7 linked regions of the Mus musculus genome follow. The protein of the gene in region 7 interacts with the protein of the main gene of each other region in a pairwise test. Links are inferred from orthologs where the notes say so. Each region holds a gene or a part of one and is shown on either strand. Other genes may lie near its edges.

Evidence for each region.
Region 1: the proteins of Traf3ip1 (region 7) and Immt interact in a two-hybrid assay, tested with the Homo sapiens proteins (2 studies listed by BioGRID and IntAct). The link is inferred for Mus musculus from reciprocal best matches to the Homo sapiens genes TRAF3IP1 and IMMT.
Region 2: the proteins of Traf3ip1 (region 7) and Frmd4a interact in a two-hybrid assay, tested with the Homo sapiens proteins (2 studies listed by BioGRID and IntAct). The link is inferred for Mus musculus from reciprocal best matches to the Homo sapiens genes TRAF3IP1 and FRMD4A.
Region 3: the proteins of Traf3ip1 (region 7) and Ccna2 interact in a two-hybrid assay, tested with the Homo sapiens proteins (2 studies listed by BioGRID and IntAct). The link is inferred for Mus musculus from reciprocal best matches to the Homo sapiens genes TRAF3IP1 and CCNA2.
Region 4: the proteins of Traf3ip1 (region 7) and Smc4 interact in a two-hybrid assay, tested with the Homo sapiens proteins (2 studies listed by BioGRID and IntAct). The link is inferred for Mus musculus from reciprocal best matches to the Homo sapiens genes TRAF3IP1 and SMC4.
Region 5: the proteins of Traf3ip1 (region 7) and Kif5a interact in a two-hybrid assay, tested with the Homo sapiens proteins (2 studies listed by IntAct). The link is inferred for Mus musculus from reciprocal best matches to the Homo sapiens genes TRAF3IP1 and KIF5A.
Region 6: the proteins of Traf3ip1 (region 7) and Ift20 interact in a two-hybrid assay, tested with the Homo sapiens proteins (2 studies listed by IntAct). The link is inferred for Mus musculus from reciprocal best matches to the Homo sapiens genes TRAF3IP1 and IFT20.

Annotation. Positions count from the first base shown.
Region 1 is NC_000072.6:71,851,820-71,855,319, reverse strand, and holds part of Immt (MICOS complex subunit Mic60), read right to left. Parts: coding exon 3,440-3,500; intron 2,591-3,439; coding exon of another isoform or gene 2,558-2,590; coding exon 2,453-2,557; intron 2,148-2,452; coding exon 2,052-2,147; intron 1-2,051. UniProt on the Homo sapiens protein: Component of the MICOS complex, a large protein complex of the mitochondrial inner membrane that plays crucial roles in the maintenance of crista junctions, inner membrane architecture, and formation of contact sites to the outer membrane.
Region 2 is NC_000068.7:4,600,363-4,603,862, reverse strand, and holds part of Frmd4a (FERM domain-containing protein 4A), read right to left. Parts: intron 2,749-3,500; coding exon 2,508-2,748; intron 1,749-2,507; coding exon 1,584-1,748; intron 487-1,583; coding exon 1-486. UniProt on the Homo sapiens protein: Scaffolding protein that regulates epithelial cell polarity by connecting ARF6 activation with the PAR3 complex. Plays a redundant role with FRMD4B in epithelial polarization. May regulate MAPT secretion by activating ARF6-signaling.
Region 3 is NC_000069.6:36,570,239-36,574,349, forward strand, and holds the start of Ccna2 (cyclin-A2), read right to left. Parts: upstream 2,801-4,111; 5' UTR 2,543-2,800; intron 2,066-2,542; 5' UTR 1,586-2,065; coding exon 1,400-1,585; intron 742-1,399; coding exon 498-741; intron 1-497. Other genes in the region: Bbs7 (Bardet-Biedl syndrome 7 protein homolog), read right to left, coding at 3,251-3,384. UniProt on the Homo sapiens protein: Cyclin which controls both the G1/S and the G2/M transition phases of the cell cycle. Functions through the formation of specific serine/threonine protein kinase holoenzyme complexes with the cyclin-dependent protein kinases CDK1 or CDK2.
Region 4 is NC_000069.6:69,021,738-69,025,237, forward strand, and holds part of Smc4 (structural maintenance of chromosomes protein 4), read left to right. Parts: intron 1-488; coding exon 489-722; intron 723-2,427; coding exon 2,428-2,613; intron 2,614-3,500. UniProt on the Homo sapiens protein: Central component of the condensin complex, a complex required for conversion of interphase chromatin into mitotic-like condense chromosomes.
Region 5 is NC_000076.6:127,228,864-127,232,363, reverse strand, and holds part of Kif5a (kinesin heavy chain), read left to right. Parts: intron 1-855; coding exon 856-1,072; intron 1,073-1,286; coding exon 1,287-1,440; intron 1,441-1,727; coding exon 1,728-1,795; intron 1,796-2,187; coding exon 2,188-2,215; intron 2,216-2,507; coding exon 2,508-2,586; 3' UTR 2,587-2,619; exon of another isoform or gene 2,620-3,314; intron 3,315-3,500. UniProt on the Homo sapiens protein: Microtubule-dependent motor required for slow axonal transport of neurofilament proteins (NFH, NFM and NFL). Can induce formation of neurite-like membrane protrusions in non-neuronal cells in a ZFYVE27-dependent manner.
Region 6 is NC_000077.6:78,535,177-78,539,160, reverse strand, and holds the start of Ift20 (intraflagellar transport protein 20 homolog), read right to left. Parts: upstream 2,801-3,984; 5' UTR 2,585-2,800; intron 652-2,584; 5' UTR 423-651; intron 328-422; 5' UTR 326-327; coding exon 199-325; intron 1-198. UniProt on the Homo sapiens protein: Part of intraflagellar transport (IFT) particles involved in ciliary process assembly. May play a role in the trafficking of ciliary membrane proteins from the Golgi complex to the cilium.
Region 7 is NC_000067.6:91,518,668-91,522,167, forward strand, and holds part of Traf3ip1 (TRAF3-interacting protein 1), read left to right. Parts: intron 1-910; coding exon 911-995; intron 996-1,388; coding exon 1,389-1,472; intron 1,473-2,216; coding exon 2,217-2,340; intron 2,341-2,519; coding exon 2,520-2,556; intron 2,557-3,500.

The sequences.
Region 1 (3,500 bases), on a different chromosome or scaffold from region 7:
GTTATCCTTTTTGGACATCTATTGACTATGCTCTAATCTTTGATTTAAAAAAAGAAAAAAAGTACACATGCATACATAGTTCTAAGGCTTAAAGAAAAATTAAGAGGCAAAAGCAAAGATGCTAATTTTTTTTCAGTTTACCTAAACCAAATCAAGAAAATTTAGACCAACCCCAAAGAGACCAGCTAAAGCAGCAGACTCTGCATCTCCAATTTATAACTTAAACCAAGGAACTCATGTCAGAAGAATGAAATTGAGTAGAGAACATGAATCCACATGTAATCTTATATCTGAGAAGACTGAGCCTGAAGGATTGTGAAGTCAAGGCCATCCTGAGCTACGGTGTATACAGGTCAAAGACAGTCTGAGCTACACACGGCAAAATGTATCAGAGACAGATGGAGTGATGGAGAGAGGGAAGGAAGGAAGGAAGGAGGAAGAATAGTAACATTACTGACAAATGAGAAAGTGCAAAAACATTTCACTGAGGATTTTTTAACTTATTTAACATTTTCAACTATCTATAACAAGACCAAGAATAAGACACCACACACAATTCCACGAATGCCCTAGACCTAAGGCTCCTTCCCATCCACTCCCTCTCATAACAGCAGCTCCTTAGCATAGGGTAGAGCCAATAAGGTGCCAAGGAAACAGCCAGATGCAGCAGCAGTGAGAACAGGTGATGTGGCCAGAAAGGAAATTCATAATAGCTGCTAAAGAATTTGAAAGTAACTTCCTTTGGGAGGCAGAGGCAGGCGAATTTCTGAGTTCGAGGCCAGACTGGTCTACAGAGTGAGTTCCAGGACAGCCAGGGCAACACAGAGAAACCCTGTCTCGAAAAAACTTTAAAAAAAAAAAAAAAAAAAAAGAAAGTAACTTCCTGTTTAGCAAAAAGCTCTTTATACCCCATTATTTCCAAAGTCACTAATACCCAGCACATAGAACAGTAAATGACAGCCTACATCTCCTGTACAAGAGGAGTATCTATGTAATAGCAGGCTGAGGAGATGGCTCTGTGAGCAAAAGGCTGATCAAGCGTAAGGACTGGAGTTTAGATCCTCACCATCTACGTAAAAGCTGGGCATGGCAGCAAGTTCATCTATAACCACAGTGCTGGGGTAGAGAATCAGGCAGATCCCAAGACACTGGCTTGTCTAGCCCAGGAGTTCTCAACTTTCCTAATGCTGCAGCCCCTTAATACAGTTCTCCATGTGGTAGTAACCCCCAACCAAACTGTAGTTTTGCTACCGTTATGAATCAGAATGTAACCAAAAAAATTAAAATTCAAATTAAAATGCCAGGCAGTGGTGGCGCACGCCTTTAATCCCAGAACTCAGGAGGCAGAGACAGGCGGATTTCTGAGTTCGAGGCCAGCCTGGTCTACAGAGTGATTTCCAGGACAGCCAGGGCTATACAGAGAAACCCTGTCTCAAAAAAAATAAAAATAAAATGAATCAGAATGTAAATATCTGATATGTAGATGGTTTATGGAGATTCCCAATGGGGTCATGACCCACAGGTCTTGAGAACTTCTAGTCTAGCAGAAACAACAAGCTTAAGGTTCAATGAGCAATCTTGTCTCAAAAAATAGGTGAATAGCAATACAAGGAAATATCTAAAGTCAATTTCTGAGTTCTAGACATTCATGGTGAGTGAACCTAAACACACACACACACACACACACACACAGTATTGAAACGTAAGAGGAAATACACTTGTTTTGCTGAAAACTAGCAACACCAGAACACCCTCTTTCCTATACATACGTATATAAGCATTAAAGGTTGAAATAATCCATTTCTGTTTCCTGGAGTTCTAAAATAGCTTCATCTAGAAATGAAGTGGATTTGGAATGTTCACTAACACACCGTCAGGAGGGCTTGTTACCTGGGTAAGAGCAGTTTACGTGGAAAGAGCACGGATGGGGAAATGATGGTGGGAACTAAGCAGTGACATAGGGAAACCAAAGAAACCCCACCGGCTACTGAACCACAAGGTGTGCTAGCTAATGGATGAAGAGAGCACTGAGGACGACTTGATTTACATACACTCCATCTCAACTTGTTCTTGCTTTTCCTGTTGCGCTAGACGAGCTGCAACTTCTTCGGGTGGTCGCTCCCTTACAGAAGATGAGAATGCTTCCTCTTGCAGCAAAAGTGAACAAGAGGAAAGCAAATTTCAACAGATTTTTAACAGCTAACAGGGATACAAAGAAAGCAGTGACATCAACAAAAAGTGGTGAGGATTCTAAACTCATGGATTCCAAAGAAAATAAGGGATTCACTCTTAACATATGGATCAATTTGGACTTAGAAGTTAAAATCTTCCCTAGGCAAGTTTGAAGGCTGGAAACAGTCTAGGTATGTATTTCCAGTTATCTATGGGCTGCCTAGGCAATACAGTTCTGGTGAGCAAAACATCTATAGCATAATATAAATAATTAAACTACCTGTGGTTTCAGACGTAGATTTTCCTTCATTAGTGTTGGGACATTCGGTTTTTATAGTGTCCTCATGCTGAACTGCAGGGGCCGGGACCGAAAGTGTATCACCTGCTGCAGAAATAATTTGAGCTGCCCCTGTAGATGCTATAAATACATGTTATGCATGATATTCATACTGCTGTTACCTGTACGAAGGAAACTACTGCTGAGCTCTTCACTGTACTACTTAAACATATAAATACTTCTACTGCCCTGTGTTTAATAAACAGAAACAGAAAATTGACAAAGGTTGACACAAAGTCTTCTCCATGCCTACAGACACTTTAATTCCTCTTACCTCAAGAAAGGCTTCTAGAAACAGTGCTAACTCTAAGCACAGAAAAGGGAACATCAGTAACATCAAAAAGAACAGCAGAATACAAAGGAGTCTGGGTCAAAGGAGGAGAGAGAGACAAGAAAGCGATTTGGCAGAGGGTCTCTAACCATTCTGAAGAGTAGCAGAGATGAAGGAAGACATGAAAGATGTGGAAAAAGATGACAGTTCCAAACACAGAGAAGAGTGTGTTCACAGTGAAGAAAGAGAGTGTGTCAAGAAAAGAATTCATTAAAAAAAAAAAATCACTTCAGAAACGACAATTTTAAGAAAGATTAATTTATAAACAAAAATGATGGAAGAGGAAAATCAATTTTAGAGATGAAATGGATATGAAAACAGGAAAATCAGACAAATGTTGTTTTAAGAATTAAAGTTCTCATTTAAAAGATATCTCTTAACATATACACAGAATAAAAGGCTGGGTATCAAATAAAGGAAACAAGGATTAAAGTTAACTGCTAATCAAAGTTCAATACTATGGCCACTCAACCACTGAAACCCACAGGGGGAAAACAGATGACTTCCTATGAAGGAAAGCCACTCCTCTAACTTTAAATGCACAGACATTAAGACAATTCCTCCCATTACACCTTCCAAAGAGTGGCTCTAACCAGTACCTGCTGAAGCTGGAGTGTCTCCCTTCGTTTTCTGGCTCTGTGCCACAGGCAGTTTGGAGTC
Region 2 (3,500 bases), on a different chromosome or scaffold from region 7:
TCCAGGCTGCGTACCACCACGGGTGTGGCACTGCCCTCGATATATAGTGGGTACTCCTTGATGCGGTACTGAGAGCTGGGCTGGCTCTGGCTGTGCAGGTACACGCCACCTCCAGTGCTTGCAGCCCCGCTGCGGGCCGCCAGGTTGGGCATGCTGCCAGAGCTGGCTGAGCCCAGGGCGCCTGCTGCCCGCTGCCTCTGCCGCTGTCGCTGCCGCGCCTTGGACGGCGAGTCCTCAGCCAGCGTTGAGTAGTTGGCGTTCATCTGTGCTGGGTAGTAGTGCTCTGAGCTCGAGTGGCTGGTGCAGGACGAGCAGTCGTCCATGGGGTCTGAGCCATTGCTGCTACGAGTCCTCGGGGTGTAGAAGTCGGGGCTTCCGGTGTCGTTCTCCGAGCCCAGGAGCTTGCCCTGGGACTCCAGGCTGGAGCTTCGATGCCTAAAGTGCAGTGCAAGGCTGTGCAGTCTCGTGGGGCTGATGTCCACTGACCTGTTGGGGAGACAGGATTGGTCTTAGAGTCCTGGATCAAAGGGTCCCACAAAAGCCACAGGCCAGGCTCAGGGCCTCTACCAATGGGAGAGCCCAGCAAGGTTGCCCCTGGAAAGCCAGGTTCTTCCCTAGGTACCAGGTGAGGAAGGGAGCTAAGAATCTCTGGAATCCACGTGGCACCTAGGGAGTGGATGAAATGTGTTGACCAATGTCTGAGGGCTTTTGCTTCTTAAGAAAATGATGCTATTGATAGAGAAGCAAATTCCTATGTTCTAAGCATTACACTAACCCCTTTAAAATAGTGATTGTAGGTAATAAAAAACAAAAAAACAAAAACAAAACTAACAACCAAAAGGTCTAACAGAGGTCCTCTCGTGATTGAACCAAAGACTCCTCTGAAATGAAAGCCAACGTACCTAAATGGCTGTTTCTTGTGAGTATTCTAAAATGGAGGGTTGGTGAAACATGGAACCCCTAAACATGAACGATACACTTATCTACCAGTAGTACCAAGACTTTGCCTCCAATCCATCAATATCAACAAGAGGAAGGTGATAGAACCCAGCAATAGGAGGTCTTATGCAAATTCCTAGCGACTCTTGGCCACATCCAGGCAGAAGTGTACTACATCACCCTCACCAGTGACCTTCTGTGATGCAGCTTTACCTCTTAGAGAAGGGATATGATTCAGGGAAGTCTATTTTTCGGTTCATTTCTTTTGGTTACTATAAATGTACACCTTGAGGCATTAAAGTGGGTCCAGAATAGATTTTAGACCTCATGAGAAAGATATATGAGGAACGGAGGGTAGAGCAAAGGTTAGCCTGGGGTGTCTATGGCTGCTGCACTCTCCCACCTTAACTGGGCTAGTTTTCCTGTTTCCACTCCTACTAGGATCCTTGTTACCTGTCTTCAGAAGGCTGGGGCTCTCTGGCCCCACAAGTCCCTGGATATGGATAGAGTTGACTATATTGAGTGTCCAGGGTAAAGTGGACCTTAGCTCCCCTGTTAACTGGGCTAGATTGGAGCCAATGATGTCTTACTACACCAGGGTCTGGCCCAGAAAGGCAGGTGGCCTAAAGGCCCAGCAGACTCACCTTGTGGAATGAACATAGTGGGGACTCCGGACGCGCAGGTCTGGGGTGGATGGCATGCTAGACTGGGAATTCCAATGTGGGAGGCTTCGGATGGGACTGTTCTGCAAGGAGCTGCTTACTCCTGCCTCGGTACAGCTTCCTGTGCTGGGGAAGCGCTTGTGGCTGCTGCAAGCGAGAAGAGGGAAGCCATGCTGATCACACGAATACCATGTGGCAGCGTTGGTAGGGGCTGACTAGCTTGGGACAGTAGATCTAATTGCAGGGAGAGCTTGCCCGGGACTCCAGCTCTCACTATCCCACCTCCCCCCCTCCACTCCTCGAAGTTAAGCACAGGGTGACTATTCTCTGGAGCCTTCATCCTTAACAAGCATTGTTTTACAAGATACAGTACCTGCTAGGGTACCCTCTGGAGCTAATTAAGGAACATGAGGAAAACAGAAGCGGGCCTAAATGTCTTCCAGATAATCCTCTCTACGACGTTGATATTAACCAAGCAATGAGCTGATAATGTGTGCAGCTTGCATTTCAGCTGCTTGGCTCCAGAACTCTGCGGGAAGATCGTATAGGGTTCTATACCACCCTGAGGATCCTCAGATCCGGCTCTCCTTTGCCATTCTGGAATGCTGCTGGCTACAATTTCCTAATTAATTCCTGTGAAATGTAACAGCATTAAATCCATCTGCCAACAGGTTGACTATGAGCCAAACCCTTTCCTCCCCTCTTCCCCCCTCCCTACCTTCAGATGACAAATCTGTACTTCTGGGGGTTTGCCAGCAGAGGGCTTTGTGCGCAAAGCTGAACTGTGAGTTCCAGGAAGGAAAAGAGTATCCTTTGGCAATATTTGTAGGTTCTAATGTGGGGCAAGCCTTTGATTCTGTTTGAGCATATCCGGGGACCTCATTTGGGTGTCCCAATGTAGCTCACCTGGAATGGCCGTGGGAGGAGCGTTTCTTCACCTTCTCATAAGGCTCATCTAAAGATGACTCGCTCCACATTTTGGGCTTTAAGGGTGACTTGTCATAGTCGGTACGGTGATAGTGCAGCTGCCTGAGTCCCTCCAGGGACTGTGGGGGAGGAGGCCTGTTGTGTGATGAAGGTGGCCGAGGAGGGAGTCCCTTGTGTGGCGACTGTAAGGGGGATATTGTGCTGGTAACCTGAGAGTCTTCTGCATGGACAGGAGGAGGAAGAACTCATCAGAGACATTATTTCCACAAGAGATGGAGCCTTTGCCCAAACACACCATGTCAGTGCCTTGGAGCTACACTTCACATATGTGCCAGGGCTCTGTGACCCTCCCACACTGGGGTCAATCCAGGTCAAGGCAGAGCCCAGACTGCAGGCTTAACTGAATGTGAAGGGCACCGCTGTCACGTCTGGTTAAGTGCGAATAAAGTCTGAGTTGGATTTGGTGTCACCAACAAGTGATTGCTTCATATTAATCAGGCAAATGAAGTATTACGTTCTAACTTTTCCTTTTTAAATTTGGTGCTAAGAAATGAGCCCAGGGCCTCAGACATGCTAAGCGAGTGCTCTATCATGGAGCTATGCCATGACGTATGTTTGGAGAGACACTAAACAGATCTCCTTTGCTCTGGGGGGAGGGGAGTTAACCTTCTTGAGGATTTTATCTGCTCTGTTAATCCCTGTGTCCTCAGGGTTAAAATGACAGCTGGCATTCAGTAGGTACTCAATAAATATTTGTTGGAGGAAAAACCTGAATTGGAAGTATATCTGTGAGGTATGATTAAGTGCTGACAGATCCGCCTTCTACCATCCATGCTTCCCTCACAAGCTTCTTAAATTTCCTATAATCTATCCTGGCATATTTAATCTGTGATGTCGGAGTGGAGCCCAGAGCCTCTTGTGAGGCTCTCCACTGAGCTATAGCCTCAGCTCGGCTCAAGGTGTTTTAGAGGA
Region 3 (4,111 bases), on a different chromosome or scaffold from region 7:
CTCTTAGGGCTGGCATGTTAAGGAGTGAGTCAGACACAAAACTGAAATCTATTCTCCTAGCCAAACATTTATAAAGTCAGATTAAGATAGATATTTACGATCTAATTAAACTTGATGTTGGTTTGCAGTGCCCTCCTGCCGGTTAAAGATTTGAGTCCTTTCATAGGTCAGTACTAGTCATGAGATTGCGGTAATCTTAACTCACTGTGTATGATCGGGTAAGACATAATCTTAAAACTCAAAATATCAAGATATAAGCTACAGGTTGAGATCCTGTCTCAAAAATAAAAGGCACAGGCTTGGTGGTTGTGGCACATGCCTTTAATCCCAGCACTTGGGAGGCTGAGGTAGGTGGATCTCTTAGTTCAAGGTCAGCCTGGTCTACAGATTGAGTTTCAGGACAGTCAAGGATACTCAAGAAACCCAGAGGGGGAATAAAAAGACAGAAAGGAGGGAAAGAAGGAAGAGAGACTGGTAAAAATAAAAAGCAACCTTACCAAAACTGCCATCCATTGGATAGTCAAGAGGTGTCAGTGGTTTTCTTGCTCCGGGTAAAGAGACAGCTGCATTAAAAGCCAGGGCATCTTCACACTCTGTTTCTTTAAGCTCAGCTGGCCTCTTCTGAGTCTCTTCTGCTTCATCCACATGAATGGTGAAGGCAGGCTGTTTACTGACTGCTTTCCATGAAGGACCAGCAGTGACATGCTCATCGTTTATAGGAAGGTCCTTAAGAGGAGCAACCTAAAGAGGAGGAATCTTTTTCAATACAACTTTGCTTCTAGCCCGGTGGGTATCAGCTTTTAATTCCAAATACTCTAAGAAACATATAAGTCCATGAGGCAAAGCCCAGGTAAAGGTGTGTAAACCGATCTGTCACAGCCATTTCTACAAAGGCTATAAATAGAACGGACTGGAATTCCAAACTAATCAAAGACTAAAGTTAGGGCAAAGAACTGATTCACAACTTTAGCCCCAGGGTGGAGCAAAACAGCAAGTCTGGCTAAAATGGCGGAATTTACCACGAAGAATACTTGCTTTATGTCCTTCCCTGAAGTAGTAATCTGGGAAGCAGATGGTGAGGGGGAAGGGATCTACATCCTAATGCAATGCCTGGCTTTAAAAGTGGAGGGAAAGGTACACAGCTGGGGGAAGTCGACACGCGAGTGGCAACGCTTGGTATGACCCCGGGCATTTTTTGGAACGCGGCGCCACTAGTGCCGAAGGGCGGTCTACACGGGTCGGCAGAGCTCGTGGGACTATTTGGTACTAGAAACGCCCGGACCGCGAAGACTGCAGCCTGACTCCCCCTGGAATGCTCAGCGTGCTTTCCGGCCCTCTGGGCTGCTAAACCCAGGACCGCTCCCGCCCGGCCCTCCTCCAGACCCCCGCGCCCTATTACCCGTCGAGTCTTGAGCTTCTGCTGCGGCGCGGGTCCACGCACGTTCCCGGCCTTCAGCACCGCCTGCGCCCGCGGCTGCTGGGCTGGCGCCAGTTTTTCGGGGTTGACATTCTCTTGGTCTTCCTGATGCAGCGAGAGCAGGGCTGAGCCCGCATCGCGACCCGAATGCCTCGAGGTGCCCGGCATCGCGGCTCCGGTCCGGTTCTGTCGGCGGCAGAGCGTGCACAGCGCCCGCCGCTCCGGAGCAGCGCGGGACCCTGGCGGCCGACCCGCGGAGCAGAGGCTGCAGGCGGGAGGAGCGTAGAGCCCAGGAGCCGCGAGCTGCGCGCCGCCCGCCGGCTGCTGGTCTTGTAGTTCAAGTAGCCCGCGACTATTGAAATAAACCAATGAGGGCGTCCGGAGTCCGTGACGTCACCAGAAGCGCCGGTCGCCGCGAGCGAAGGCCCGACGGGAATCTTACAGGGCGGGAGCCTGAGGACGCGCCTGCGCAGAGGAGGGCGGGGCGGGCGGCCGCTTTCGGCCGATCTCTGCTGCTCAGTGGATCTGTAGCCTCATAGGATCCTGCCGGAGCCGCTGGGCGGTCCAGACAAGCCCTCGGGGCCTCGAGGTGTCGGCCTTCGCCTCAGCTAAGGGGTGAAGCGCCTTCTCCTGGTCGCTGGGTGGCGCCTAGGCAGGAGCGTATGGATCTGAATGACAAACTGCCCCGTCCTGGGTACACTACTCCTTTCTCTTTCTCTGTGATGCTGCCATACAACATAGGGAAACGCTGGAACTTTTACTGTTTACTATTGTTTCACCTCTCCTGTATATCATTTGTTTGTTGTTTGATTTTGAGGCAGGGTCTCATAATGCTGTCCCAATTGTCCTGTGACTCACTGATATCCGTTATCAGAGCTCACTGATCTGGGATTAAAGGCGTGTCTCTATGCCCCGCATTCCAGTAAACTACCCCACCCCCACCCCCAATTAAAGATGGGTTAATTTAAAATGCCAACATGAGCTATTGTTGATAACAAGTGGTGTACTACAAGAAATTCAGCTGTCCATTAATTTTGCTAATCCTTGGTTGTGACATCAGACCATGAAGTTCCACTGACCCAAATAGATATTACATTTAGAAATGAAGTGCATTGTGGTACATACCTTTAATCCCAGAGTTTCAGATCTCTGAATTCAAGTTAGTCCAAGTCAGCTATGTAGTGAGATGATGTCTCAAAAGTAGAAAAAAAGTGTTCATAAGAAAACCGGGCAGCCAGGAGGCGATGGCCAAGCCTTTTCCGGGCATCTCAGGAGGCAGAGGCAGGTGGATCTCTTGAGTGCAAGGCCAGCCTGGACTGCAGAGTTAGTTCCAGGTCAGCTACACAAAGAAATCCTGTCTTGAGAAACCCTGTCTCGAAAAACAAAACAAAACAAAAACCACAAAAAAAAAAAAAAAAACCAACCCAAACACACACACACAGAGAAATATATACAAAACCTAAATAAATATATAAAGACACAAGTATATTACCTTAAATGTTCACATTTAATAGTTAAGAATCATACATAAAATATAATAAAATGTAATCATTGTTTTCATAACTACCCTTTGAAAACAAAAGACAGCTTATTTGCTCTTATTTAATAGTATTCTAAAACTTTCAATGCAATATTCCCCTGAAATGAATGACTAAAAGATCTTCTTTTCCCCTCAAGTACACAATAAAAAGGACTTTCATGGGTACTCGTAGGGGGATGCTTAGAGGCCGTCACTCTTCTGATTACATGTGGGACGTCCATCTGAGGTGCCTCGGGTCTGATCAGGCTCTGCTTGCTTCTTCGGCTGTCCTGTTGGCCTACCTTGTTTATCTTTCATGCTGCATCGAAGAAAGAAATCAGTGTGTTCTGGTCGTAGCTGTCGAGAATCTCCAGGAGCATGGGTACTTTGGTTTTTACATTAGTGCCTTTGAACTTAAATTTATCTATAAAAAGATCAGTAATCATACCTACGAAGAAAAATATTATTTCTTGTTATTGATTAGTTCTTTTAACAATGCATGTGGCATTCTCTCACCACCTGAGACTCCATTATTCAACACATACAAGCCTGGAAGAGGTTGGTGTTTTTAAAAACAGATGTGTATGTGGAGAAGGTTTGAAGCAACTTTCAAGACATAAATATTTGATAACCTTCTAACAATGGGTTGCAACTGCTGACCTAGACAAGCCACTGGTCGCGATTCTGAATCTGTGTCGGTGCACCCTGCATCCCAGCGACTGACTGCTGCTGCATCAGGAAGAACGTCTGAACTGAAGCACTTCACCCATGGGCTTACTGGGTGCAGAGGTCTGGGAAATTACTGCACCTTTGAGTTTTCAAGATGTAACACAGAGACAACTCAAGTTGTCTATTATTTATACAAGACCCTTGAAAAAAAGTATATTTTAGGAAGAGAAAAAGAATATACCATTGATACTTTTTATATTGGTCCAATGAGACTGAGTGCTGATATCTGCTAACAAAATGGCAATGCTTTTACAATAAACAGGTGAATACTTGCACTCAGTGGGATTTAAAAAAAAAATAGAAAAAGCTTCGTGTCAGTTTAAATCAGGTTTTATCATGAAGTCAATCAGATTAAGACAATTTGCTGGTAAATGATTTACAAAGGTAAACTTTGGTTTTCAAAGCTGCTTCCTAGATTTTGGAATCACAGATGAGAGACGGTAGAT
Region 4 (3,500 bases), on a different chromosome or scaffold from region 7:
GTCAATACTTGAGCATATAGCAATTCTGTACATTTGGTTTGTCGTTTGATTTACATTGGGGTTTTTCTATGTATCTTTACCCCTTGTTAATGATAAAACTATCAATGAAATTGAAATGAAATCTTCCCATGATGCATATTTTTCAACAAATACATTTGAAAAAATTTTGTGAATAGTTCTTATACCTGGTAATGTAGAAACAGTATGAAATCTAGGTGTAAGTCCAGTGTTTCCTTAATTATTACATTTTTATTTCAGAAATGAGCATGCTATGCCAGCTTCACAAAACTCATAGGACATCAGTTAGGAAGAGACAATGAATAGTGTAAATGGAAAACTAGACATGGGCTACTTTAATCTACTCCACTTATTCAAATTATTTTTTAATAGTACTCTGTAGACCTTCCTTTCTTAATTGACTCAAGAAATACAGTTTCAATCTAAACTTGAAAATATATTTCACTTCTAATGAACTCATATTTTAATAGATTCAAGAAAAGGAACTTATGGGTTTTAACAAATCAGTAAATGAAGCACGTTCAAAGATGGAAGTTGCTCAGTCAGAACTTGATATCTATCTCAGTCGACATAATACAGCAGTGTCTCAATTAAGTAAGGCGAAGGAAGCCTTAATTACAGCTTCTGAGACTCTCAAGGAGAGGAAAGCTGCAATCAAGGATATAAACACAAAGCTCCCTCAGACGCAACAGGAACTAAAGGAGGTAAATTACTTCTGTATTTCATCTGCATCGTCATCTCTAGAGTTATATGTGGGAGTTGTTTGTTTTGTTTTTAATGTCCAAGTTTAAAGTGGTTGTTATAAAAAAATTTTCTTAATATACTCTTGAATGAGGAAACATTTTAATATTTGAATTTAGTAATAATTAGCTGGACTTATAAATGTGGGTAGGGAGGTTCTATAGCATGTACAAGGCCTGGGTTCCATCCCTAATACATCCCAAAAAAGAAAGAATGGGAGTAGAGTCACTATTGTCTCCAAACACAAATAACCACTGCCACAGTCCCATAGGAATAATTAAACATTTCTCAGGCTGGATATGAAGCTCAGTTGGTAGAGTGCTTACCTATCCCTAGCCAGGAATGTCAGTGTGCCTATAATCTTAGCATTTGAGAGGTTGAAGCAGGAGATCACTTTTAAGACCAGTGTTAGTGGGGCTGGAGAGATGGCTCAGCGGTTAAGAGCACTGACTGCTCTTCTGAAGGTCCTGAGTTCAAATCCCAGCAACCACATGGTAGCTCACAACCGTCTGTAATGAGATCAGATGCCCTCTTCTAGTTATTTGAAGATAACTACAGTATACTTACATATAATAAATAAATCTTTAAAAAAAAGAGAGAGACCAGTTTTAGCAACATAGTAGATTCCACACTAGCCTATTTTCTCCCTCCCAAAAAAATGTTTCTCTAAATAGATAAATGTGGGTAACTTATATAAACATACATGAAAAGTAACAAAGTTTTTAAAATTTCTTAGTTAGACATCCCCACCACCTCCCGCCACCTGGTTATTTGAGGAACTGGAGAGGTGGCTTAGCAGATACAAGCATTTGCTACTCTTACTAGTTCCCAGCACGCGCATTGGGTGGTTCATAACTACCTGTGACTTCAGCTCCAGGGTTTCTGATACTCTCTTCTGGACTCCAGGGAAACCTACACCTACACCTACACACACACACACACACACACACACACACACACACACACACACACACAGAGGTATATATAGTTTAAAAATAAATATTTTTAAATTTTAGTAAATTTATACTGTTTGATCATCAGGCAGTTTCCTGATGTGTAAAATTTAAATGTAAATTAAATTATATCCAGTAATTATTTCTAGTGATTTGTTTTCTTTTGGGATTGTTTTTTATACTTTAAGCTTTTACTCTGACTGGGTCATAAGTAATAGAGGAGAATAACAGTTAGAGAAAGATGGCTGTTTCTAAATTGGGAATTGCGAAACTAAATTTGGGTGTATGATTCTTCTGGTTGACAGCCATTTCCGCCATCTTTTCCATCTCTGTTTAGGAACTATACCTTTTTGTTTTGTTGTTTACTTAGCCAAAAAGACAACAACCACAGAACTGCCCAGCTACACTTACCCTGGAATCCATTTCCTGGATTTGGTTTTGTTTAGGGCAGAACTTGAGAAAAATCTACTAGGGTTTTTATATCCCTATACTTAAAGAGATCTGGGTTTCCTCTTTTTGAGCCAAATAATTTATGCTTCTTTTAAAATAGGAGACACTCATCCGAATGTTTAAAGCCAGGCCAAAATAGCACTATGGAAGCTCAGTGTTACTTAGGGGCCTCACTTATTATTGTTGAAACAGTATAAATAGTTTTCTGCTGCTCTGTAGTGTAGTAAAGATCAAATGCTTGTACGTTTCATCTTCTCACTTTTAGAAAGAAAAAGAACTTCAGAAACTGACACAAGAAGAAATAAACTTAAAAAGTTTGGTTCATGATCTTTTCCAAAAAGTTGAAGAAGCAAAGAGTTCCTTAGCAATGAATCGAAGTAGGGGGAAAGTACTTGATGCAATAATTCAAGAAAAAAAATCAGGCAGGATCCCAGGAATATATGGAAGATTGGTAAGTAGATTTACGTTTTACTCAGAAAAGTCCTAAGAGCCAGGGTCTATATGAGCTCTGATTAGCCTTAAGCCAGCTGTAGCTAAGGTTGACCTTGCACTTCTGATCCTCTTCGGTCTTCCAAGTGCTAGGTCGGCGCTTGGCACTATACAAGAAAAGTTTTTTCAAAAGAGGGGGTTGGAGGGAGACAGGCAGGCCATGGTGATGCATGCTTTAATCCCAGTCCTTGGGAGGCAGAGGCAGAATTCAAGGCCAGCCTGGTCTACATATTGAGTTCTAGGCTGACCAGAGTTACACGGTGAGACCCTTTCTTTAAAATCAGTTTTAGGATGTGGTGCAATATTGCTTAGAGATCTGTTATCCTGTTAATCACCATGGCTGATTTGACTGATCTTACTAAATAAGCTTGTGCCTATTCTCTGTTTCTCCCTCACCGTTCAAAGTATGTCTTTCTTGAAGCTGCACAACTCATTCTAACAGATGACCTATCCATTTGGAAGAGGACTGATTTTTTTTATTTTTATTTTTTAATTTGGTCAAAGGTGTACCAAGTTGCTTTCCTTGCTAGGCCCAGACCAAAAAAAAAAAATTAATATAGTCTAGGTTTCATAACATACTTAACATTTTGGTTATGGTTTCGGGAGGTAGACTAATTTAGAACTCTGGTAGTACTAGTTTGGGGGATCTATACCTTTCTTAGCCTTAGCATGGAAGAATGCTATATGATTTAGAATGCTGTAAGTATCTCTATTCTATTCATTTCTTGCCCTGCAACCATAACTGAAACCTGAACCCATACAGTTGATGGTTCCCTATCAGCCTTCTGAAAAAAGAAACAATGATCTGGAAGGACAAATAGAATTTAACCAGCATGGTTACATCTATAT
Region 5 (3,500 bases), on a different chromosome or scaffold from region 7:
CCTTTCCCATCATGCTCTCTGCTGTGCTGACCTGCCTGCCTTCTTCCCTCCCTCCCAGCTCCCAAGGCCTTGCACCTGAGTAGTTTCAAGTGTCCATCAATGTATAGACACTGCAAAATGATCCAATGGCCTTTTCACTGCGGAGTGGTTACCATCACACTCTGGCATAATTTTAACAGGGTAGGGGAAGACAGCCCAGGGGGTCCCTGGGGAAAGGCAGTGAGCACAAACGTTTGTGCAATCTCAGGACTTCCTTTCCTTCCTGCGAGGCTCTGTGTGTGTGGCTGCATGGGTCCCAGAGCCTGGCTTCTACAGAGCCTAGCTTCTACTTTGCCAGGCTCTCACCTGCCGCGCCCTTCTCAGCCTGTGTCCACCCTCTGTCATGTGCTCCTGCTGTCCTGCCTTGGCACGCTCACTCAGCCATCTCATCCCCATGGGGCCCTGGAGCTGTGGGTCGGGCATGGGCTGTGGCGTACAGTGGACGGACGGGAGTGTCCAGATGGATGGCGCGTGGACAGGGCCATAGCAGAGCTGCAGGTTTTGCCACTTAGAAGACAGGGAGATGCCGGGCATTGTGGCACACACCTTTAATCCCAGCGCTCGGGACAGCCAGGGATACACAGAGAAATCCTGTCTCGAAAAACCAAAAAAAAAAAAAAAAAAAAAAAAAAGGAAAAAAGAAAACAGGGAGATGGAAGAACCGGCTAGAGCCACACACTGCTAGAGCAAGGAGGTCCCTTGACAGGGCCTTGATTGTCCTTTATTCTCTCTTCTCCCAACCCCCACGCTCCTCTGGGTGACTATTTTGGGTCACCGGCTTTTCTTCTGGGCTCTCCCGTGCGGCTCACTCCGCAGCTGGTACGTGACAATGCAGATCTGCGTTGTGAGCTTCCTAAATTGGAAAAACGACTTCGGGCTACGGCTGAGAGAGTTAAGGCCCTGGAGGGTGCACTGAAGGAGGCCAAGGAGGGCGCTATGAAGGACAAGCGTAGATACCAGCAGGAGGTGGACCGCATCAAAGAAGCCGTGCGGTACAAGAGCTCCGGCAAGCGGGGCCATTCTGCCCAGATCGGTGAGTGGATGTCAGCTGGTGAGACCGCATCGCCACCTGAGGCAAACGCAGCCAGTCCCTAAGTGCCAGACCACTCAACGCTTGCTTTTAGTCCCCAGCCTTTCCACCAGAGGATGACGCTGTCAGTTTGTGGTTTGCTGGGGTTGACCTTGGGGCCAGGTAGACTCGGGTAACCGATGATAGCTTTCTCACGGTTGTTTCTTCTGTTCTGTAGCTAAGCCTGTGAGGCCTGGCCACTATCCTGCCTCCTCACCCACCAACCCCTACGGCACCCGGAGCCCCGAGTGTATCAGCTACACCAACAACCTCTTCCAGAACTACCAGAACCTGCACCTGCAGGCTGCGCCTAGCTCCACTTCAGATATGTAGTGAGTGACGTGGGTGTGGCCGCAGTTCCAGCCCAAGGCCATCTGGGCCCTCTGAAGGCATTAGGGTGGTGTCAGCTCTTGGTTCCTTTAAAAATGCATTTCCTGAGTCCCGTGGTTTCTAACCCTTTTCGCGGTCTTCTGGGTCGTGGTTAGGAGGTGGGTGCTTTCTCCTTGTCGCCATGATTGGTGGCCTCTGTTGCAGGCATAGAAAGGGTGAGTGACCGGGAGGAAGGTGGGCATAGTGGCTCTCAGAATGGTGGGCTGCATCTGTATTCTGCTCCTTCCAGCTTTGCCAGCAGCGGAGCCACATCTGTTGCCCCCTTGGCTTCCTACCAGAAGGCCAACATGGACAATGGTAAGTGATGAAGACGCAGGATTCCCAGGGAAGATGAGAGGTGTTTACAACAGACACGAACAGAACCTTCCTCTCACTGGAGGGTCAAACAAAACGATACTGTCAGGGAGAGCTCGTGGAACAGCCTGTGCCTAGTGTGGTTTCTGCCCTGCATCCCATTCCTGGTACAGCTGGGGAGGGAGGGGTTGTACCGGGGTTGGGTACGATTCATGTGGACCAGCTTTCTCCTAAGGGCTTGCTTAGGTCTCCAGCCAAACCCACTATTTTCTGGAGTGGTGAGGGTAGAGTGCCTCAGTTTACCAGTTCAGAGGCATGGGCTTCAGGATGGGAGGGGTTGTGAAGACTGTTCCTCACGCCAGCTTTTTTCTAACCCTGTGTTCTCATCCCTTCAGGAAATGCCACAGATATCAACGACAACAGGTACTCAGACTTGGGGTCTCTGGGCGGGACCCAAAAAAATCGAATAACACTTCTCTAAGAGGACTTCCCTGGAGCTCTGGGGAGGAGGGAAGAAATGAGGCAGGAGATCCAGGCACTCCCATGGGTACTTTCTCCGTACCTCAGGGAACGTTCCGACCTTGGGCAAGGCCTGAGGTTCCTTAGGAAGCCTGCATCCTTCCTGCCCTCACCCGCCCTTCAGTATCTCAGGCACGCTGTCAGAGTGCTGGCCGCAGTGGGGGCAGAGCTGTTGACAGGCTGTTTCTTCCTCCAGGAGTGACCTGCCGTGTGGCTATGAGGCTGAGGACCAGGCCAAGCTTTTCCCTCTCCACCAAGAGACAGCAGCCAGCTAACTCCCAACCCTGGCCACATATCTGCACTTTCAGGTAGCTGCAGGCCACTTCCCTCCCTAGCCCCAGCCTCCTCCTGTCTGGCCATGGCTGCTTCTCCTGTTCATGTGTATGTGTATATGTTTGTATGTGTCTGTATGTGTGTGTTGTGTGTGCATGAGTGTACCCACATCAGGAGGCCAAGGTTAGTAGGTGTGGGTGTCTTCATTTGTGTGTGTGTGTGTGTGCGCGCTCACATCCACAGGCCAGCCTTGGTGTGGGTGTCTTCCTCTCTCACTTTCCATCTTACTTTTTGAGGTCTCTCACAGAACCTGGAGCTTGCTGTTTTGGGGTAGACTGGCTGGTCAGTCACCTCCCCACCCTCCCTCTGTCCCACCCCACCCCCCATATCTGCCCATTTCTGTCCCCTGGGGTACTGGGGATCCAAACATAGTCCTCATGTCTGTTCAGTAAGCACTTAGTGACTGAGCCAAAATCTTCCAACTCCTGCTTGGCCCTGTATGGCTGCACGAGGCAGAGGCAGGGAGATCATGAGTTCAAAGGAGTCCTGGATTCATGAGACCCTGTATCAAAACCAAACAGAAACATTTGCTAAAAAGCCCAAATCTCATTCATAGCCAACCCTGACCTCCCATGGCCCCAAGCCTTCCCTTAGGTGCTGGTGGTAATCACAGTACTCATTTCTACCACTAGGGGTCACTGTCATACATTAAAATTTTTGTTAAAGGCAAGGGCTGCTGTCCATCGGTCTACTACCTTGTGCCTTTACCCTAAAATAGCCTTAAAATAGCCTTAGATACACAGAGATGTCTAAGCCACCTCGTGTAAAGGTGATGTCTGCACTACTCCTGGATTGACATATGCTGCCAAAGACTCTCGGTGTCTCTAGCTAGAAACAACAGTACGGTCAGTAAAAA
Region 6 (3,984 bases), on a different chromosome or scaffold from region 7:
TTGCTTGGCACTAAATGTGGGACTCCATGGCAGTGTAAGAGGGCAAGCAGAGAAGGTTGGGTACACATGGGAACCCAGAGACCAGGCTCAATCCAGAGAGCACGCAACTTCATTCTGGTAGACCCAAGAACAATGGCCAAGGTCAGGTAAGGAAACTGCTCAAAGCAGAACAACACTGTGTCTCCAGATGGTACTCACTGTCCACAAAGTCCTTGCACTCCTCCTTGAGCTCCACAGTCTGCTGGGTGACCTCTGGGTCCAACACTCGGAGCTTGTTCAGTTCATCAAAATGCAGCCCTGCCTCGCCCAAGATGTCCTTGGCCATAGCTGCAGAGAAACCAGCAGCGACCTGAATTTCATCCCAGACACCACCCCAGCCCTCCTCATACACCCATCCCTCTGCCTCCAGCTCTCAGCCTCACCTGTTTCCCTTCCAGGAAGCCCTAGAGGTCTGCTTTGAAGGGGTGACAGTGGCAATCAGGAGGTATGTCATAGGAGCAAGGGTCAGGAAAGAGGAAAGTCCAGTTGCTTGTCACAGACATCGTTCATTCAACATACATTTCTTGAGTGCCTACTACATGCCGACACTGCTAGATGCTGGGCGTAAAGATGAATGCAACATGGTGCCTGCCCTGGAGCAGCACAGCTTAGCTGGAGGAAAACAGACACGTGAACCTGAAGGATTATATTGCATCAAGTGATTTTTACAGAAATATCACTAAGCAAGGAGAAAAGACAATTTCAGTTCACTTGGGTGTATCTGGCCTAAGCTGCGAGCGAGATAAAAGCATAGTCATAAATCCCTGTTTAAGGTCCCAAAAAGGCTTTTCAAATGCATGCCCTGAAATGAAAAACAAAACAAAACAAAAAGGATGAATTTTAAAATGAGAGTTAAAAGCTAGCTATGGTCATGCGTGACTCTAATTCTAGCAACTCACTGTGTTGCTAGAAGACTGACACACGTTTAGGACCAACCTGGGCTGCATACTGAGTTCCAGGCTATCCTGTGCTACACAAGCCCTTGTCTCAAAAAAACAAAAAACAAAAAAACAATTGCCTTCCTGTGTTGTTCTAGTTGGATAGTTTGAGTATTTAAGAGCTCCTAGGGACTAACTGGACCAGGTCCTATGGAAGAGTTCATATGACATGAGACTGCAAACACTTGTTTGAACTCCTACTGCCTTCTGAGTTAACATGCATTTATCAAAAACAAAAACCCTTATTGAATCCCAGCTCCAAGGACAGAGTGAACATAGTGTCTCTAGACAGACAGTAAGCAAATAAACACAAACTGTGATCAGGGTATGAGGAACAGCGCTCAGTGCTCTGTCAGGATTCTACAGGAGGACATAACTCAAGTAGGCAGAGAGGTCAACAAAAGCCTTCAGAAAAAACAATCTGGGACCTAAACACGTCCAGAAAATCTTCTAAGAGAAGGGAGAGGGACATTGTGGGCATAGGGAAAAGCATATGGGGGCGTCCTAAGGCTGGAAGATTTTGACACAAAGGGTCCTGGGATCAAAACAGCAAGAGGGAGCAAGGCTGGCAACCGGCTATAGCTGGATGAGTAAATGAACTTGGGTTTTGTTTTGTTTGTCGAGACAGGGTTTCTCTGTGTAGCCCTGGCTGTCCTGGAACTCACTTTTGTAGACCAGGCTGGCCTCGAACTCAGAAATCCACCTGCCTCTGCCTCCCAAGTGCTGGGATTAAAGGCATGCGCCACCACACCCAGCTGAACTTGGATTATTTTTTATAATGATAACCGCTAGCAGTGGATTTCGGCAGTGCTTATTGATCAGAGTTGGAAAGATCACTCACTGCCTTGGCCAAACAGAGGGAACAGGGAAGAGCAGAATAGAGGCGTCCTTTCCAAATTTCTCACTGTGAGCCAAGCATCTCTAAGCAGGCTGCCTGCAGGTAAGTGGCACTCTGATAATGTTTGCAGAATGAATGAATTCATGTGGAAACAGAAGGCTGTAACAGAAGAAAAGATTTGAAGCCGAACGGGAGTTCAGAGATCAGATGATGTCTGAATTGACAGAATTTAGTAATGCTTAATGCAGCACTTTGGAGAAAAGTGAAGAAAGGAGCCAAACACGATTGCCATGGATCTGGATTGGACCGAGAGTATGGCTGGAAAGGACAGTTTAAAGAGATGGGTAAGATAGATATGGTACATAGCGGGCTATCAGATCCCCAGCCCACCCCTAACTCCCACCACAAATATGCTCCAGGAACGTGGGATTGAGTTTCCTAAGCATGAAGGCTGTGCCTGGCTCTACGCTCCCTGGCTCTCCCAGGTCCGCAGGCACAACAAATAGTTGTAGCTGTGGAGTTTGGAGAAGGCGTAGACACAGGAAGAACTGGGCAAATGGCGCGGCTGTCTTTACTAAATTATACTCCTGCAATGTCCGAACCTCGGTTCACCGGTGACATCGAGGGAGCCAGGCTGAGCTGAGTGTAAACCCGATCCCTAAAAACTCCGAGGTAGGGAAACCGCCGCTTTCCACCCGGTCCAGCCAATCCTCGGCGCTGGGTCACGTCGGCCTCCTCCCGTCCCAAGTCCTCCACGTCCCCGACCTACCTGACGAGCCGCCTCGGCAGCGCTCTGCGGCCCTGACGACTGTCGGTAGAAGCTTCTCTCCGGCAACTGCAACCGGCTGCTGCCACGGAGACAAGATCTAGGAGCCACACGTCACCCCCGAGTCCAGAAGCACCAGCATCCGCCCACCCTGCGGTGCTTGCTGGGAAATAGATGCAACACGCGATAACTGCCCACTAGGCCCAGAAGCCTTTGCTCAGGGGGCGGGGACTACGACACGGGAAGTAGATTTGTTCCCGAACCCGGAAGTAGAAGGAAGTCAAACGTCAAGTTTTCGACCCACTGCTAGCTCGCGCGCTGTGCATGCCGGGTCTTGTAGTCTCTTTCCCGATCTGTAGGGTTGGGCTGTAACTCCGGAGTCGGCGGGCGCAGGATGTGAGCTCACAGCCGAGATTGCAGGCAGCCGCAGGCCAGAGGTGGCACCGAGTCCGCTTGCTACTTGACTGAGACTCGGAGAGGCGTCCCCGCGGACGGTGAGAGCCAGAGGTGCGGGTGCAGAGGGGAAGGACAGGCTCTGCTGAGTCCTGGGCAAAAGGCACGGGATGGCGCGCGGGGATGAAGTTCAGGTCTTTTCTGGGGATGGGAGGCACCACGGATCTCAGTTTTTCAGAAGAGGAGGGGTGTGGCGGGAGAGCAGCCTACACTGCAACGAGAGACATGGGATGTTTCTCCATTTCCACTGGAGAGCCTTTGGGTGAAACATAAGAGCCGCTTCCACGATTTCTGACCTTTCTTGCCAAAATCAGCCTTCCCACCTCGCCGTACCTCGTGTCCTTCCTTTAGAACCCCAAGTCTTTGAACTACCGTGATCGTTTGCGCTTTGTTCTGCTTGGCTTCGCATTAGGTTCCCATAGAGACACGTGTATGTTCCCCAGCCCCAGGATTACCCCTCTATCCACAGGCGAAGTCCTGAGGAAAGAGCCCTGAAACTATCAGTGGAAACTTCATCCTCTCAGAAATTTCTTTCTAGGGCGTCACCTGCCATTGGACTCTTGGACCTAATTGGTCTGGGTGGAATCTGGTCTGACGTCATCTAGGACTCAAAGTAGCTCTTAGGAGGAAAAGAATAGATTAGCTCCGGATTTGACTTCCTCAGTTGGCAAGCCTAGTCACTTGGGTTTCTTTGATTTGGCAGAACGTGTTTATGTGCTTCCTTGATTCTGGGGAAATGGGACTGCACACAAAGTATGTGAGGAACTTGCTAAAACTTGTTGAGGAGTTGATTTTTTTCCCGCTTTGAGGTAAGGCGGTCAGTCGCTCACCAGTCTAGCATTGTAGTGTTACTGTCAGACTCCCGGAGCTCGTTTCCTCCATGTTCCATCACTGAAAGCAATTAAGCCATCAAAAGGATATGCTACTTAATATAGCACCAATATAGACCT
Region 7 (3,500 bases):
GGCCTCAAACTCAGAAATCCGCCTGCCTCTGCCTCCCGAGTGCTGGGATTAAAGGCCTGCGCCACCACGCCCGGCATAATGTTTATTTCTAATGTTAAAATTCTAATTTTACTGTTTTATGAAGTATAAATTTATTTTGTTTTAAATAGTAGAATAAATTCTATTGTCTTAGTAATTTTGATTTGTGACTTGCTGTCTTAGCCTTTTTATTAAAATGAAAAACACTGTGTTTTAGCCGGATGATCCTGCCCACTTCCAATCTCAGCACTTGGGCGGTAGAGTCAGGGAGACCTCCATAAGAGAGCTCCAGGCCATTCAGGGCTACCTAGTAAGACTTTGTCTTAAAATACAAAGAAAATTATGTACTGACTGTTCAAAGAATACAGCACCCAGTGTAATTGTAGATACTTTAGAAATGGAGTCCAGCGTGACAAAGTGAAAGGCATTTGATGGTCTTTGTTTTTATAACTGAAGCACACACACTCCTGGGGCCCCCGCGGGAGTGACTGAGATCTGTCACTGTGCTCTGTGAGGAGTGCACATGTGAGTGGGCTAGAGCTTCTGAGCGATTGCCACACTGTCTGTCTGTCCGTCCGTCTGTGCACGATGTTCTTTTCCTCAGGCTCAGTTCTTTTGGCTCCATCACCCTTTATTCCTTGATTGGTCAGCCACTGTGCATTAGCAGAACTTGAGTGTGCCCATGTCCCCAAATGTCCACATTTAGATGTCTGACGTCTGTCAGTTTTAACCTCATCAGTGATGGGTGAAAAGAGTTCATTTGCATTTCAATTATTTGACTGATGCCTTTTCAGATGTTTATATTTAATTTGTTGATATTTATATTTGAGTAAATTTATTTTTGTTACTATTGAGTTCTTTTTGAATGCTGATTGGATTGTCCCCTGTTCAGAAGTAGAAGCTGGACCTGCTGGCCAAGATAAGCCGGAGGTGATGGAGAATGCGGAAGTTCCCAGTGAGCTTCCCTCCAGCCTCAGGTGTGTCCTCCGCTGGGGTTTGGGAGTGTGGTCATGCCTAGGACAGTGTGGGGCTTCCTGCCATAGCATCCGCTGCCCAGTCAACACTTGTTCTGTGGCGTAAGGGATTATTTGTGCAAAGCAAGCGGAAACTACCTGTCTAGTTTTCTTGTACCTGAGTTGGAGCATTGTACAGTTTGGAGAAGTTCCTAGTAATGGGAAGGCCTGTGGTGCTCTGATGAATGGCAGCTGTGCCCATTGAATGGGGCTGGTGTTCCTCTGCAGAGAGTCTGAGTGTCATGCCGACCGTGGCATGGGAGTGAACACTAGTGCTGGCCTGCCTATTTGTCCTGTCCACATTGAGATTTGTGTGTGTTTCACAGTCTGTTTTTTTTCCTTCCAATATTTTTTTAGAAGAATACCTCGGCCTGGGAGTGCACGGCCAGCACCTCCCAGGGTCAAACGACAAGAGAGCACAGAGACACTGGTGGTAGACAGGTGAGGCTGCCTGGCCAGGGGGTTCTAGTCACAATGAAGCCACACTCCCCAGTGCTGGACTGTGGGATGCCAAGGTCTGGGCCTGTGCTGAAAGACTTGGTAGGGTGTAGTACTCAGTACTAGGAAAAAGAAAAACTTACCTTGAAGAAATAGAGGATTAGATCACTGCCTTAAACCACAGAGCAGCAAGCATTCCAGATTGGCAAAAGGGAGAAATACGTGTGTTCATGTATCAGATGCCTCAGAAAGCATGGGCCAGCACTGGCTGTGTTTCCCTGACCTCTAGATAGAAGACTGTCAAAGTGTAAAAAGGAAGAGAGCTGAAGGTGTAATTGTGCAAGAGTTAAACAACAGGTACTCCGAGCTGAAAACACGGCAGCGGTATTGGATAGAGGCGTGGCCCTGTGAAAGGGGTCGGTCCCAAGTCACGTGACCCACAGGGCCCACTTGTGCCACCCTTGGTCTATCTTAGAGTCAACGTCAGCAAACAGGGCAGAGCCAAAGGACTAGAAAGGCTGGGGTAGAGGGCTGGGGTGGCCTGGAGCTCTGGGCAACATGGAGGCTGTTGTGTGGGAGGTGATATTCTCCCTGTTCCCACTGTTCCCTGAGAGTTCCCTTCACCTGTCTGGGGCAATGGCAGTTCAGCTCCTTTCTGAGAACTGTGGTATTTCCAGATGCAAGGGGCTGACAACAACTGGTGGCTGATGGGTCGTCACTTCTAATGTAATGACTCTTGCTGCTTAGGTCGGGAAGTGGTAAAACCGTCTCCAGTGTGATCATCGACTCCCAGAACTCTGACAATGAGGATGACGAGCAGTTTGTGGTGGAGGCTGCCCCTCAGCTGTCAGAAATCGCAGACATTGACATGGTTAGTTTCCCCGAGGGCCCTGTTCTTAGGCACACGTTCAAAAGTGAGGACTTGGCTTTTCAGCTTATGTAGACACAGTTTCTCTAATTTTTCAGTGAGCTGTCTGGTTTCTTTGTGTTTTTGTTATTTATTTATTTTGAAGTAACAAGGCTTCCCTGATCTCTCTCCTTTCCGCTCAGGTGCCGTCAGGGGAGCTGGAGGATGAGGAGAAGCACGGTGAGTATGGACCGTGCTCTTGTCGGTGTGTGTGTGGGCTCTCTGTGTCCTCTGAAGATGCAAGTGGCCATCCTGTGCCACAGGGTCCTAGGAGGGACACTGTTGCTGCTGCCATGTGGGCCTGGGGGAGCCATAGAACCTGAGATCAGAGTGGACTCCAAGCATAGTGGCATCGTATCTTGTCTTTCCAAGAAACTGTGTCTATACATGCTTATATGCACACATGAACATGAGAATAGAATTTGTTATGTAGCCCAGGCTGTCCAAAACTCTCCATTTTCCTGCCTTAGCTTCCTCAACAATGGAATTCTAGGCATATGCCACATCCAACTCAGTTTTGGTTTTTATTCATGTAATTCTTCCTGTGGCTTTAAGGTTAACTGTCCATAGCCAGCTGCACTGAGAGGTGTACATTTGTTTTGTGGTTGTTGTTATTTGCGGCAGGGTACCATTGTGTGGCTCTGGCTGGCCCAGACTTCACTGTGGAGATCTCCTTTTGATCATTTTCTTGCTTCTGTCTTGTGAATGTTGGGACTATAAGTTTGCACCACCCCACCCAGTGCTGAGGTCTAAGACTTCTCCTTTGTTCTTTCTCCCTATATTCCTCTCCCTGATAGTGCAGGTGAAAATGTGACTGGGGGTGGGGGTGGGGGTGGGGTTGAGGGCTCATAAGAGAGGGCAGCTCATGATAGAATGTTGACTGACATTCTGACACTTCTCTCCATCCCCCTATTATCCACCGCTTCACTCCTCTTCCCGTAATGTTCCTAAGCCTTGGAGGGCGGATGAGGGGTGCGGTGTAGATGTCCCACTTGTGGCTGAGCTTGTGTTGACACTTTGGTTGTGAGTTTGCACATTAACCATCGTCTGTGCATACAGACATACAGACTTAGTGGGTAGTTTGATGCTATGTCCTTTTAGTAGAAAAGAAGTTTTCCTCTGGG